2 linked regions of the Arabidopsis thaliana genome follow. The protein of the gene in region 2 interacts with the protein of the main gene of each other region in a pairwise test. Each region holds a gene or a part of one and is shown on either strand. Other genes may lie near its edges.

Region 1 (5,553 bases), 340 kb from region 2:
TACGTAAAAAAAGACGTCGTTATCCTAAATATCTAAAGCTAAAGAGAGAGTCATTAACCAAAAAAATGTTCTTTTGCTAAATGTTGTAAAATCTAAGAGTTGTATAAAGGTTATTTCTAGTTATGTATTTAAATTGTTACTATTTGTCATGATAATTTTAAAATTCAAAGAGTTTATAATATTAACAACAAATAGATATATAAAATCATATTTTCAAAATTTTCAATAAAATATTTTAGTCACACAAAAAACTGTTAAATTTTTTACAAATAAATCCACGCATGAGTTCATAGCTAGTAAATAAATAAAGAAACAACAATGTTACCAAAAAAAAACTGGTTAACGTATTTTCTAGAATTAACATGTGATGTGTATTTTATTCATTAAGCATCTCCTTAGTATATAATTATATAAATATAAATTTACAAATAAAATAATACAAGATCTTTACTAATCTTTATGTGGAAAACAAAAAAAAAACATAAGTAAAACAAATTTATGTGGATAAGAAACGCCATACGCATTCACGTATTATCTTGCCATGTTAGATATGATTCTCAATGTTACAAGAAAACATTTATGGTAAAATAATAAAAGTTTAGATCGCAGACAATGGACCTAAATGATCCCATAATTCATAGGATAAGTTTTCATTCTTGTTTCGAGCATGTTTAATATTTCCACTAACTGTTTTGCCCTCTTGATCTCTACATTCTCATCAAAGTTAATTAGTTCATAATACCATAAACTATTAGTATCCTCGTTCTCTTCTGCATGAAGATAATATTTGAAACCGATATTACATTCGCTGCACTATATATGGATTTGTAGGTTAACTCTAACAAAATCCAAATTACTCTAAAATACTACACATACGGTCCTACAAATTACTAATTAAAACCAGTATACTACTAAGATTAAATGATATGCTATAAGAATTTGGCTCGCCAAAATATAAACTAGGAAGAAATAATGTGGGGATGATAAATTACTAAAGCCTCACTAAAACTCAAATATGTCATCATATCAATCAATATATGAGTGTTGAGATTTGCCGTAGATATTATCTTCCCCCACCAAATAATTGTACCTACACTACACCCCAAACAAGCATATAAGAACAAGTTAATTTAGGTTAAGCAAAGCTGACAAAAGATTAGAGGGAACCATCTCTAGTAAGCTTAGCAAGCAATGCATTGATAAGTGAATCCCTCTTCTCTGCTCTCATCTCCTCCCTCGACCGCCGTTGCTCCTCTCTATCCCGCCACATCCGCTCCATTGCCAACCTCTCCTTCTCAAGCTCCTCCATCTTCCTTCTCCATTCTTCTTCTTTCTCTGCTCTTTCCTTCTCCCTAGCCTCCCATCCTTCTCTCCACTCGCTCTCCATTCTCACTTGATGTCTCATAAACTCTTCCAACACTTCTCTTACACCATTATTGCTATTACTACTATTACTACCGCCTTTTCGCTTCTTTGCAATGTTCTTTTTCGGATTTAGAATTTTTGGGTCGTTGCTGACATCTACTAGCTCTTCATTCACATTCTCTTCTTCCTCATCTGAAGAATACTCTCTCTTTCTCGCTGCCCCGCTTGTTCCCCCTCCTCCTCCCTCGGATTCAGCCCATAGCATTCTCTGCATTCTAGTGGTAAATATATTTTGCATATCATCATAAAAAGGGAACTGTTGTCTCGCTGTCTCTGCCTCCATTGTCTCACATCCCTAGAAACATCAAGCAATACATCACCAATGAGATTGTATACATATAATTAAACTACTTAGCAGATTATGGACAACAAGATTCAGAAATATTTACAATGGTGTTTGTCTATATGTCCCGGAAAGATTATGGACTATAAGATTCAATATTTCTTGGTTACAAATTTTTATTTATTTATTTGTTCCATGCAAGACCTCCAAGATTATAAAACATCCACAAAATGAAAGAAGAGGGAGAGAGAGAATAGACCTTAAAACGAGTGACGAGGTTCTTCCACTTGCACTTGCACTGTTCAGGGCTACGAGGAAAGCTTTTGTCTCTCATCTTGTTAGAGATAACTTCCCAAAGAAGCTTGTTCCGTTTTGTCTCCATGAAAGTTTGATCTAGCTCTCCTCTTATCCCTATCAACTCTTTTGTCTCTTCGACGCTCCACTGTGGAAACCTATCCCCAACAGCTACCGGAGAGGCTATTTCCGGCGTTTGCGATTGAGTATGAAGATGATGCTTGTTGAGATATTGAAGCTGGTGAAGGTGATGATGCTGATGTCCATCCATATGAAAGAATCAAGAAGAAGAAACTATAAAAAAAAAATAAAGAAAAAAAATCACCAAACGATCTCTAAAGCAAAGATTTTGAAGAAGCTTTCACTTTTTCAGATCGAAAAACAAAATATTTCTTGTTTTTCTTTATCTTTTGGTTTTTGTGTATTTGTAATGTGAAAACGTTGGAAGAAAGAAGTCTAATTTTCTTTGATCGCAATTCTTTTCTTCTTCTCCACTCTCTCTTTCTCCTGTCGCCATCTGTCTACGCGTTTACTTTTTTCTCTGTCTTGGATTTTTTCTAATACAATTTACTTTTTTTTTGTGTGTCTTCTTTTGACAAAATATTAAAAAGAAAAAAGCTTTCGGCAGATTTGTCATTTCATTTCTAATAGTATATAATTAGTTAAAATATCGATTGAAATGGTATTATAGAGCAAAGGATAATTAGCGTCTTAAACTACCAGTCAATTCGTTAATAAAAGATATGTTGACTGGTGATCAGGAGAGATGTGGATATTTCTATCGTTATCTCATAATGTAATCACTTTCATTTGACAAATAGTATTCTAGATTCTGACAGTCGACATATTTGTCAAATATGTGTATGAAATGAGTTTATTACTGAGTTGGTTTGGTAAAATGGTAGGGATAATAAATTTAATTAAAATGATGATAATTTTTTATATTGCTTTAAATATAAAAAACAGTAAAATATTAAAGAGAAAGTCAAGTCTTTAAATAATATAATACAATTTTTCTTTTGTCAAAATAAATTAGAGTGAAAGTGTAAGAAAAACATAGGTGAGTGGTAAATATTTCCTATTGAGTTATAGAGCTCTTTATGTATTTTCTGTTTAATCTGCTTTTTCATTCATACTATAATGAGGAATCAAATTGATGTGACGATAACATTGCGTTGAGGTTTCATCATCACCGCGAGAAGTTTCGGTTTGTATACTTTTTGTAATAATACTGTGTGGTTATTAATTCTCGGCGACCAGTCATATCCTTAGCTTCATGCCCAAGTTTCTATTTACTACTTTGTCTTTGTTTATTTTTCCCTTTTTCAACAAAATTCGATATTTTTCTAATTTTGAGCACCTTTTTTAAATACAAAACTAGGTGACTTCTCTAGAATCTCTCGTTTCCTAAATTCCTTCACGTGTTATTCCTTGTATGGTTATCAAAATAACAAAAGTGTTGGAATGATTTCTTCATTCACGAAATGACAAATTATAGTGTGACACGTGCGTGGAACTAGCCAGCTAGGAACAACATTCTAGAGATGTGAAACTTGTTAGGCCAATTTTGAATTTTTTTAAAAGCATGAACATGACAAAAAAAAGCATGTGCCAAACTAATTCATTTTCAACTTAAGGTTTATTATGGGTTGGCAGCCCAAACCCATTCTACACAGTTTGGGCCCAATTTGTCTTCGAGTGATGTACAATTTGGCAATTGGACTCACATAAGAACAAATTTTGTGTAACCCCTACAATAGATGAAAACTGCAACTCTCTTCTAAAGTAAAGGACTAAAGTCAACCTAGTCCCTTAAATGAGGTTTGGAAAATTCTTTGTCTGCCTCGTTCACTTTTATTTTGCCTCGTTTTATGTATCTGTTGAAGGAACACCACTTGGTTGATTATGGTACGAAAAACATGTTATTTGGACTTTCACCAAATTTATGTCGATATAAAAAGATCAGTACAAATTTGTTATTGATTTTATTTTTAGAGGCTACATTTCCTATGGTTTGTGACCAGACTATAGCTAGCTACAATTTTTTTATTGTATTTTTATTGCGAAAAACTTAGTTGCATATATTATTCACTAAAACAGAGATTTTTTGTATAGTAAACAGTGAAGGTAAAATTGTTAGCAAACAAAAATTTTGTAGAGTCAAGAAAAGAATTTTTATATATATATATATATATATTTTTTAGAAACAACATATTTTTAATAATAAAAATAGGAAGCTTCAAATACAGCATTGAAAAGAGTTTAACGAAGAATTTTTGTTTTCGATTGTATTTAAATTTATATAATATATACAAACAAAAAAAAAAAAAAAAAAAAAATTGTCACGTGTGCGTTTGGTAGCTGTAAATGAATGCATCTTACACAGTAGCCCACATGTCGATTTTGGTTTTTCTTCATTTTTTCTTCACCACATAGCTGTTGTCTTCAAAACAATCAACGAGTTTTTTAGATTTGTTGATTTTGTTGTTTTGGATTATTGTTGATTTTGCCATTTTAGATTTTTCACTTTATCTATAAAAAAAAAAAAAACTATTTTCTGCCACTTAAAAGCTAAAATTTTGAGAAACTTTTTAAATAAAAATATGTATTTGAGAATTTTGTTTCATTATGTTTCCATTTTTTTTTTATAAAATACATAATAACAAATATTATACCCTAAAAAAATAGAACCAAGTAAACCTAAATGTGTAAATTGTAACTTTAGATATAATTTTTTCGGCAAATCTATGAATGCCACTAAAAATCCTTATCTGGTAATTGATTCATTTATTTATTTATTTATCACACTATATCACATCATTTACGTTCACAATATTCAACATATTAGGCGGACAATTTCTTTTGTCAACATCACGGATCTAGTATTTCCTTTTGACATATCTCGATCTAGAAGATGAAAGAAATAGATATATAGGATGAAATGAATTTAATACCATCTAAAAGAACGTTCCTATTATATATGCTAATGTATAGCATCAAAATACCATTTGTACAAAGAAAAACAATAGATAATCGAATTTAACAGAGTTAGATTGATAAATGGTATTTCTTTAGTTGTCACGTTTTGAAAGCGTGATTCTATTCTCATGTTTAAACATTTGTCTTAAACGTTTTGTTATATATCATAGACATGTTAGAGATATAACTGAAAAAAAATCATTTAAATTAGTTTTTGAGTATTTTATAATTATTCTTTTGGGAATTTCAGTCATCCAAAATCATTCAACAATGTTGCGCCAAACAGAAGATGGTTCAACCACTATAATCAAACCATTTTTCAAATGATTTCGTTTTTTTTGTTTATTTTTTGGCTTTTGTGGATTACAAACCAAAACAATAATTTAAATTATGATGATCTCTACTTTAGTCTATATAAATACAATGACCATGAAAAAAATACACTATGGGTTTGGCTGTTTTCGTTCCAAATGTTGGCATGACCTCCACCGATAATCTGTTGTTGATTAGGTATTTTTAAGTCTGTCAATCGTGAATCGACATCTGATTGTCATCAAACTCTTATTCTATAA
Region 2 (10,181 bases):
CAAATAGGGTATCTCCTAACCATCCATCAGCGTTACTCAGAAAATTCTGACTGTGACAAGATGATCTTAACTTGATAACCACGTGTCTCTATGCAAGGTTTTTGGACTTTGGTTTAGTTTGTCGGATGCAAAGAAAACATCAGCTTGCCATGCTCGCATCAATTGTGCATATCGTAAATGGTGATTGGGCCTGTCTTGTTGAATCGTTGATTGATATGGATGTCATCACGCCAGGCGTTAATACCCGTCGTTTTACTCTGGTAATTATATAATTTCTGATCTCAGATAGTGTAGTGTATCTTCAATTAATATATAGCTGAATGTGTTTGGATGTTAGTATTCTCATATCTTATGATTCTTGAAAACAACAATACAGGATCTGGAATATGCATTGGGAGAGGTTAAACTTATAAACGGGATTCCTGATATCGAGTTCACCAAGGTTAGACATGTATTTCAAAAATTGTTGTTAGAGACATGCATTTTAGTCTAAATTAGAGAGGCAAGTTTGTTTATATTTACGACTTTTAACTCTAACACATGGTATACCTGATTAGTATAGTGGTTGGTTTCTGTTGCAATTCTTTCGCATTCTTCTCTGTGTTAGTATCCTTGAACCTAGTTACTTAAAGTGCTAGGATGCTAAGAAGTTCCATCTGCACTCTTATATGGCAGCAACTTCTATCTTGTAGCTCGTACATGGGAGAATGCAACCAATCTAAAATTCTTATAGTTTTATCTTCTGCGTGAGTACCATTGAATTCATTAATATTTCTTCCAATGCTTCTAATTTTTTCAAGGTGCTTAGTAAAATAGTCAATGTGGCCCTGAAGTATCAGCTACGCATGCCACCATACTTCACACTTGTCCTCCGTTCTCTTGCTTGCTTGGAAGGTACTTGTGATTGAGTCCTTGATTGTTTGTTTGATAACTTTATTTGTCATTTCTTTCTAGCCATGCTTGGTTTCCTTTACTTGGCATTTTGCGTCATTCTTTTTGTTGGCTTATATCGTAGAAGAATATGTAATCCATTTGTTTCCATCCTTTAGTTATTTGCTTTCTATTCTTGTCTTCCCAGGTCTGGCTGCAGCTGGAGATCCAAATTTTAAGACATTTGAGGCAGCATACCCTTTTGTGGTTCAAAAGCTCATCACTGAAAATTCAGCTGCAACAAGGAAGATTCTTCATTCGGTATTACACAGTTTCTAGAGCCATTTAAGTGACTTTTTATAGTTTCTGTTTCATAAAGCTAAATAGCAGAGAAAACTTCTTAACTTCTGTTGGTGTCTGTAGGCAGTCCTTAACCGAAAGAAGGAATTCCGATGGGAAAGGGTTGCTCTTTTCCTGAGTAAAAGTTCTACGAGGTATTGTGAATCAGACATTTGACTTATGCATTAGAATTATGTCTAGGTATAGCTCTGGTGGATAAAGTGGTGTAGGTAATATGGAAAAGATGAGAATTTTAGTGCCTCTGGCTCTCTTCTAAGTACTTTCTTGAGGTCAGCAACAGAAAACTATTGTTAAATTACAGAAGTATCAGATGAAATATAATAATTTAGTTACAAAGAGTCAGATGGCTCACAACAAAGAGCAAGTAATAGGCATCTAACGTAGCTTTGACTGGTAATGATTTGATATTAAAGTATTTGAATGATCTTTACATTCATATTCTGTCTTGTTTAGCCCCTGCATATTGTTTACTATCTTGTATTCTAGGTCTCTGTATAATAATAAGTTATTTTATACCTTGTCTAGGAAACAATCGCCACTGCTAAAGTTATCAAGGGATGAAACTTCTGTTGATAGTAGTTCCAATCTAACGGACAAAGATGCTGACAATGTAAGTTTGGTCTTGAGACTTTTGGCATCCAAAAATGGTGTGGTTCTTAGAAGACTCTTGATGGCTGCGGTTAGTTTCTACATCCTAATTGCTATTCTTCCCATCGTTTTTGCCAGTTTTCTGAACTTAAAGATTAGTCTCTAACAAAGTAAACAGGGAATAAGGTACCTTTCTGGTTATGGTCATCATTCATCCCCATGTTGACTTTAACTTGTGATTAAAGTAGATTTGTCGTATTTCTGAGGAAATGACCTCTCAAGTAATAAACTTTGTATTGTTCTCTGTTTTGATAAAACAGAACGGGACTTCACTGATCCGGACATTTATTTCAAGAGAGGCACTTGTCATACGCCAGAAACTTTGCATGACGATTGCAACTACGATGTACCAATGGATGGTTGGAAGCCTTGGAATTGAATCCCTTAAATTCATTTCTCTTTCAGACCCACCACCATCTTCAGGAATCAACATTACAGTCAAAGACTTCAAGATTCTAATCAATGACAAGCGGGTCAGAGTAATACTGAGAAAGATACTGGAGTCTGCAAAGAGTGACCGAGTTTTGATGCTCAGATTCTGCTGGACTTCCTTTGTCATGTCTCTCACCACCACTGCGCTTGCTTGCCATCGGTTTGTGATCTCGGTCTCTGAAGGTTACGTCAACTACTTATCTCTGTCTGCTCCAGTCGCACTTCGTACCTGATTACCTGAACATCCTACACCAACACAGAACCAGAATCACTAATGTATATTGTTGTCAAGACCCAAAGCAAAGGGTTCCTTAGTAAGAGGGATAGATTCTACAGAAAGACTAAATATTTTCGTGTATAGAGTCGTTCCATATCTAATCCTATCAGACGATCAATGCCTGTCGTAACGATATATGACTAATCATAATATCCGAGACCTCAAGGAATCCTTTTGCTCTGCTTCAAGAACACTTAATAGAGTTCTCCACTCTAAAATGTCCTACATTTACCGAAACCTCTTGGGCAAGTCCAAAACACAAAACATATTTGATTGAATAGGACAAGCGTTTGTGTAAAACATATCAGTTAACTAGATCTAAAGTCTGTCTACTAATATGAAATGATATCATAAAGCGTTTGAGCTTATAGCAAAATTCAGATAAAGAAATAAGAAAAGTGTTCATTCCTAAGTTCATATCATTTACAAAGAATGAACAAACAGAATGTAAAAAGTATAGTCCTATCACTTCTTGAACGTAAACTCAGACAAATCAACCTTGACATGCTCAACAATCTCCTTCTCTTCTCTAACAGGACTTGCCATGTCAACTTGGGGATGATGACTATTGCTGAATTCAGAATCTGTGATCTCACGTTGGTAAGAGTGATTCTGAGATTCAGGGTCGAAGAAATGCTGATGGCCATGGCCTTGGCCGCTATAATCAGAGAATCTAGGAGGAGAAGGAGAAGCAGTGAAGCTGGTTTGTTGGTCGAGGCTGCGGTTATTGTAGTTGTGGAGGAGATGCACCGGTGACATGCCATGTGTTGGCGTAGTAGGACGGCTCGAGTGAGGTGTGTTAGATCCTGAGTGTCCATGTTTCGTCTGTTTCTTGGCTGTGTGGTGCCATTTCTTCAATGCATTGGCTACCCTGTCGTTGAATATTGTCGGCCTCATTGATGTTCCCATCTGCAATCACATTTTAGTGTTAGAGAAATCCTATACATCCAAAATAATCTAAACTATATATGGGACAATCACAATTTTGTAGCAAACCCTTAATTGTTTCAAACATGACGCATTGACACTTAGCAATTTAAAATTTGTTAAAAGTTGTACCTGAGTAACAAGAGCATAGAGAGGTAGAGTGATGTAGCTGCATAGAACTTGTATTAATACCCTGCCGTATACAACAAGAAGAAATTTATCGTTAAGGTTCAAAACATACAAAAGATAATATTATTTTGTTGTATGTTATGTATAGTTGAGGAAGTTAACAAACCCCATGGTGATCCTAATTGCAATGTCTTCTGTTTTGTGGTGGAAGCAGTTTTTGAGTGTGAATTCGTACTGCAAAATTAATTCATAACCAAAATCATTAATTTTTTTTCAAAAACATATATAAATTGGAAGAAGAAAATGGATTGTTATTGCTCACAGTGCTCCAAACGAAGAAAGCCAGTTGAAATGCATTCTATAAACAAAATACATAGAAGAAACAAAATTTAGAAAGTCATAAGAAAAGGGTTGACAAAAAAAAAACTTAAGATGGTAAATGTAAAAAAGTAAATAAGTGTACCGTGAAAAGAACCAAGTGAATGAGGAAGAGAATGAAACGAGGACGACCAAACCAAAAGAGATCATCGCCCGGTTCAACCACAGGAGCTCCTTTAACCACATCTCCTTTTTCTTGAATCCTTAATCCTAATTTCGATATTATCATTTGAAGTTTTGCTCCTACTATCAATATCACCTTCAATATTTACACCAACCATATACAATTATTGTTTATTCACAGCTACATAATTAATACACTGAAGACTTTGAAGTGAAATTTTTTATTACTTACAATCAAGGGAAGGAAGGGCAGCCAAAGATATGAGTCCCATCCTATTTTAATTTGAAAAAGACATTGAAATTTAGAAAGATATTTCGTTGATATATAACGATTTGCTTAATCTCTTAAATGAATTGTTAGAGAATTAGGACATACCATGTGTATTGGTCAATATGAATAAGACAGCAATGCACCATATCAGTGGGCTGCATTCACACAAAGATATTTAATCAGATATTTAACTTTTGTGCAAGATTGTTTGAACAAAATATTAACAAACTTGGTTTAAATAAAAATAAAAAATGGGACATACTGTACCTTATACCGACAACCACCGTGAAATCTTGTTCCAAAGATCTTTCAATGTATTTTTGGAAATCGAAACGAGCGGCACTTCCTGCTGGCAAATGTGCCTGCACCAATTCACCAATTGGAGTAATTAATCAACAATTCATAGTGTATTACTAGTAGTATATGCTAATTATTACTTACCATAATAAAGCCATGTCTTAGTGTAAGATAATCTACTTTTGTCACTGATCCAAAGAACTGTCTGAAGAAACATGTCTGCATTCCATTTCCATCCATAAGTTTTGTTGTCAATTTTTAACCAAATTATATATAAAAAAATTACTCACAAAAAGTAAAGAAATGAAAACTTACAATCCAGAGGGTAAAGGTAGACTTGCTCCATATATTCAGATGTCTACGTCCGAACGATGTATCTCTTGCAAATCTGAACCTCTCTGGATCTATAATAGTTAAATAACCAATTGAACTAAACAAATTAAATCAGAGGACAGATAATATATAGTTAAATAAAAATAAAATATGATGTTACTTTCTTGTGTTAAATTGTTTATTCGTGAGTCAAACAAACGACGTTGTAATTAATCAACAATTCAATTATCTAACTCAATCAAATAAACAAACTAATCAATGAAATAAACAATTATCTTCCCACTGATACGCTATCAAGATGTTAACCTTGGCAAAGTCAACTACCGGATTATTAGTCATTTTTCTTTGATTAATTACTTCTACAAATATAAACTCTATGGCGATGAGATAGTGTGTGTTGTATATGTACATACCATTGGCATATTGGTACTCAATTGTTTTGGTCTCTCTCTCCCATGACTTCCATTTCTTCATCTACATATTGCATAACCATATATAGATTAAAAAACAAATTAAACACATACAAATATATGCATAAACTTGTACAAAATGTATAGAGAAGATCATGTACCTTGGTCTTTCCTAAAGCATAGGTTATAATGCAGTAGAGAACATGAAAAACAGCGAGCACAAAGATGAATATATGCAGCTGGTGGATACCATAGGCAGATACTAATGCTACTTTCCCCTGAAATCGAAAATATGAAATAAGATTCCGATATATATATTTGCTAAACATAAAAGCGGCATACTAGTATAGTTAGTAAGTAATTATGAATTACATGCCTTTTCTGCGCATTTGTCATAACCCTTGGTGGCTAAATTTCGGCGAGGACTGTAAAAGTCGTTGGAGTCAAAATCTTCAAGAATTTTGCGGCCATCGTCGATATAATCTTTACCATATTTGGCGATTTCTTGATGGTTGCTACAAGGATGCCAAGTCGCAGCAATATTTCTTGGAATGCAAATCTCGGAGACTGGTGTTTGCAATACAACCAATAGAAGCGATATGAATCCCAGAAGCATCAGTTCTATTTTCATCACAATCCAACAACAAAAGAAGAAAGTTAGTTGGGAATCCAAATAGAGAAAGATTTATCATATTGTAATATAAAAAGTCGTCTTTGATGACAACTTTTTATAGAATAGTGAATTAACTTGCCTGCTTTAACCTTTTCAAGAGCTTCAGATAAAGCTTTCTTGTGCTTCTTCTTAAACCACTACAATAAGTGAAAAGAAGAATTAGAGATTAATTATGGGGTTATACCGAATAAATTTTGATTGCCTAGTTAAGAAAAAGCGAGATGATGCATTAATAACCTTAAAATGCAAAAGTAATAGTACTAAATTAATGTGTACTTTCGTATCATTTGGAGAAAAGCAAAAAGAGAGAAAGGAAGATTTGGAAATATAAAAATGAAAAATATACGTACGTGACCAATAAAGTGCAAGAAGTATTCGATCATGATGGAAATGAAAAGGAGAACGAAGCAAACTACAGCAACAGCCCATGTTGGTGTTTCCTCTAGTGATCGCTCTTTTATTGCCATTAATTTCACTGCTCAAAACTCTTTTTAAGTTGTTTTTGTTAAACTTTAAACTCTTAAGTTTCTTAGCTTTTAGGGTTTCGCAAGTTTATCGATAAGGGGAAAAGGAGAAAGAAAGTGATATGGACTTTGTTCCTGTTATGTCTCTATATATACATAATTCAATTAAAAACAAGATGCCTATACATGAGTTGTTGTTATTTCTTTGTAAAGAGAATAAAAAGAAAGTCAAACAAGTGAAAGCCGCAATTATTTATTAAAAAATAAGGGAAACGAAGACTTTGACTAATTCAAAGATAACGACTTGAGATGAAGTGGCATGAGGAGACTGGTAATGCCGTGTGAACTTAGCTACCACTTCTTATGGGTCATGCATACCTTAAAACGATTTTTTCAATTTTAAAAACTAAATGTAGTGTTCGGTCGTTCTGATGAAGACTGAAATTTTTTATTTTATTTTTATTTTTAAAAGACCGAAATTTATTCATGCCTCGCATTCACATTTTACGGTACGATCAAAGAAATGGGTTTTGGCAGTTATTATGAATGTCTGCGATGTTGAACTGAAAAAGATACTTTTTAATATATCATAAATTTATTGAATGAGATTATGTAAAATCTTCTTTAAAGAAAAACGAAGTAAAAGAATCTCTAACCAAAGTAAGGTGGAAAAAATTTCCATGCAAAAGAAACTAGTTTATCTACTTTTGGGTTTCGGAAATAAAATAGTGGCCAAGCGATAAACCGAGGTAAAATTGAAGCGGTCATTTAATGATTGATATTCCATTCTCATCAGTTCTTGTTTTAACTAAACAATTATAGAGCCAACATGTTACTCAGTGAGTTAATTTCTGACGAAAACGGTACATAAAAACTTAAAACGATTTTGGTTTGGTGGTGGCCTAAAAAGAATTCATGTTTCTATGCCATATCAGGATTTAAATCTCCAAAGTACAAATTTTTTAAAAACTTTTGGAAAATTCTAGCTATACGTGGTAAACATTTCGCAAAATCCAGTATGATTTATTTTGAATCATGTGTTGTACATGTAATATCGTGTGCTATGGGTTGGACGACTATTCATCTGGAACTAGTTATCAGTTAGGTATGTTGGTTAAGACGTTGGATCAGCATTGATAACAAGTATGTTAAGATATTTTCATAAATATTATTGTGAATTGATATTACTAAATATCAAACCAAAAAAAAAAAAAAAAAATCAAATTGTGGTAAATGGACTCAATCAAGGTGTGGCTTAGGACATAGTTGCCGTTACCGGAAATTTGGAATTGATTATCGTCTCATGTGTTAAACATACCTGTTGTCGTTAATATAAATTTTCTTTGTATCCAATAAAAAATTTACAGATTGACAGTTACACTTTTTTAACCCATAATGAAGGTATCCTTTAACAAAAAGAAAAGATAGATGGAAATATATATTTAAGCGTGAGGTGAAACTTATCGTGAAGTCAAACTTAACCATAGCTGGAATTGGAAGTACTTTGGGTTGACTATGATAATTGTTTATTAAAATAATTATGGGTCTGCCTTGCATTTCTTGATTATTTATACAAAACGATCAGTGGCTTATAGAAAGGACTTGTAACACAAGGTGACTAAACAAAGAAAACACTCACTAACGGTATTTACAATTTAAAAATCATGAAAAGATGTTCTTTCTTACTTCCAATCTCGATGGAGCATTTACCAAATTAGCCATTTTTGTTTTTCAACTCCATTTTGATATGACTGTCCGACTAATAATATTAGTCATATTTTCAATCAATTTTTTTTTTTCTCCAAGTAAAGTATCAATATAGCCAATACCACCGTAAAATTCCATTTTTTCTTTTGGAATGGGATCAGTTTTGGTATTAATACAATGCCCATTATATTATGGTTTTATCCTATACAACTTATTTCCACCAAGTTAGAGTTGGAACTTCGATAGAATAGTGGATTTCCACATTTTCACTCAAATTGATAAAATAATATTTCAACCGTTTCATCAGGAAGTTGAAATAATTAAATAATTTGTCATTTAAAAAAAAAGAAGGTTAGAGTCAACTCAAATCATATTGACATTGCCATTCTATGATATGTACTGATCTAAACTTCCTAAGCGTTGACTCTTTATTGGTAAGGTTGTGGTGTAAAATCATCCATGTGTCCATCTTTGTTTTGACCCATAGCTCCAATTTTTCAATCTTAACCGATCTCATATGGTTTCCTTCTTTGAATTTTGTATTCTTTGCCACATCGTTATCCAATATAAAATTTTGAAAGTCATCCCTGAAAACGTGTTGTTCCCTTGTTTTTTCTGCAAGTTGAACAAATCTTAATAATGAGTTGTATTCAATTCAGATTAAATTTTAATTAAATTCATATTTAATCTTTAATTAAATAGATTAACAGTTTAATATTTCTCCAAGTTGGATGGACAATAAAATTTATGATGTTTTTTCTTGGTTGACCGCCACTTAAGTTACTTTGAAGAAAAAACATAGAAATTTACGTATTGTTTCTAATTTTAGGTAACTATTTAAGAGCTTTATTGAACAAAAAAAGGTAACAATTTAAGAGCTTTCATAGCCTAACTAAGAAAAAAATCAAAAAACAGAACACGGAAGTTATTACATTTCAAGTCAATTAGTATACGGAAACAGGAAAATATATACAAGGTTAGCATTTTCTCCTCATAAATTTTAATTAAAAATCATCTGCAATTATGTACGTTGTGTCCATAAAAAATGAAAACTAAATGTACACGATATATGTTTGTTTTTGACGGTTTGTATTTTATGAAATTCATTTATGTATCATATCAGTTTTAATATTCCAAAATTCTCTATGATTTTTTTGAATATCTTAAAACTATGCATGATATTGATGTAAATATTTACAGCAAATTATTTTATTTATGGATTTCATTCATGACATGAAATATCGTTTACATTGCTTAGGGAAATAAAAATAATTATGGTTGACTCTTTATATATTTATGTATTTATATTCATAGTGAGTGATTGAATTAATAACCTTATATCATATTTAAATAGGTTTTATAAGAACTTATTAACCACTTTTTTTTTTTTTTTTTTTTTGTCACAAAACCACTTTTAAGATACAATTTGCAATGTATTGTATAAGAGCAAATACAAATATTTAATATACAAAAATGGTTTTGCAAATTAATATTTTTGACACAGAATATCTATTGATTTATAATATGTTATTATCTTTATAATATGTTTTAGTTAGTAGGTGTTTTTCCTTTATTTTCTCTAAGTGTGATAGATATCATCACAAATTCATCTTCTTCTTTTTTTCTATTTTTATGTGGATTTTGGTTTGTAAGCGACTTTGATTAGGATCAATGTGTTTTACTAATTAAATACATTTAGTTTAGAATAAATGTTAGTGGGCTTCTGATAGAAACAAATAAGCTCACTCGCTCAAAGAATTAGTGGTAAAGTCCAAAGTTTTTTTTTTCTTTTTTTTTCTTTTTTTTTGGTCAAACAACTAGTCCTAAATCTTTTTCCTACTAATGAGTGTTTCTTCAGAAACTCATAATATTTTGGGGAACA

Evidence for each region. Proteins that work in one complex are often made in the same cells at the same time.
Region 1: the proteins of MLO12 (region 2) and AT2G38250 interact in binary tests that used the Arabidopsis thaliana proteins (3 or more experiments, as listed by UniProt).

The regions. Positions count from the first base shown.
Region 1 is NC_003071.7:16,015,104-16,020,656, reverse strand, and holds AT2G38250 (Homeodomain-like superfamily protein), read right to left. Parts: upstream 2,448-5,553; 5' UTR 2,274-2,447; coding exon 1,968-2,273; intron 1,721-1,967; coding exon 1,157-1,720; 3' UTR 501-1,156; downstream 1-500.
Region 2 is NC_003071.7:16,353,203-16,363,383, forward strand, and holds MLO12 (Seven transmembrane MLO family protein), read right to left. Parts: upstream 6,742-10,181; 5' UTR 6,596-6,741; coding exon 6,479-6,595; intron 6,266-6,478; coding exon 6,208-6,265; intron 6,077-6,207; coding exon 5,832-6,076; intron 5,734-5,831; coding exon 5,617-5,733; intron 5,520-5,616; coding exon 5,459-5,519; intron 5,117-5,458; coding exon 5,028-5,116; intron 4,932-5,027; coding exon 4,857-4,931; intron 4,778-4,856; coding exon 4,683-4,777; intron 4,571-4,682; coding exon 4,521-4,570; intron 4,418-4,520; coding exon 4,377-4,417; intron 4,281-4,376; coding exon 4,107-4,280; intron 4,002-4,106; coding exon 3,966-4,001; intron 3,878-3,965; coding exon 3,810-3,877; intron 3,708-3,809; coding exon 3,647-3,707; intron 3,497-3,646; coding exon 3,053-3,496; 3' UTR 2,839-3,052; downstream 1-2,838. Other genes in the region: ATATH8 (Protein kinase superfamily protein), read left to right, coding at 1-8, 98-260, 377-442, 801-894, 1,079-1,191, 1,294-1,364, 1,756-1,909, 2,139-2,543.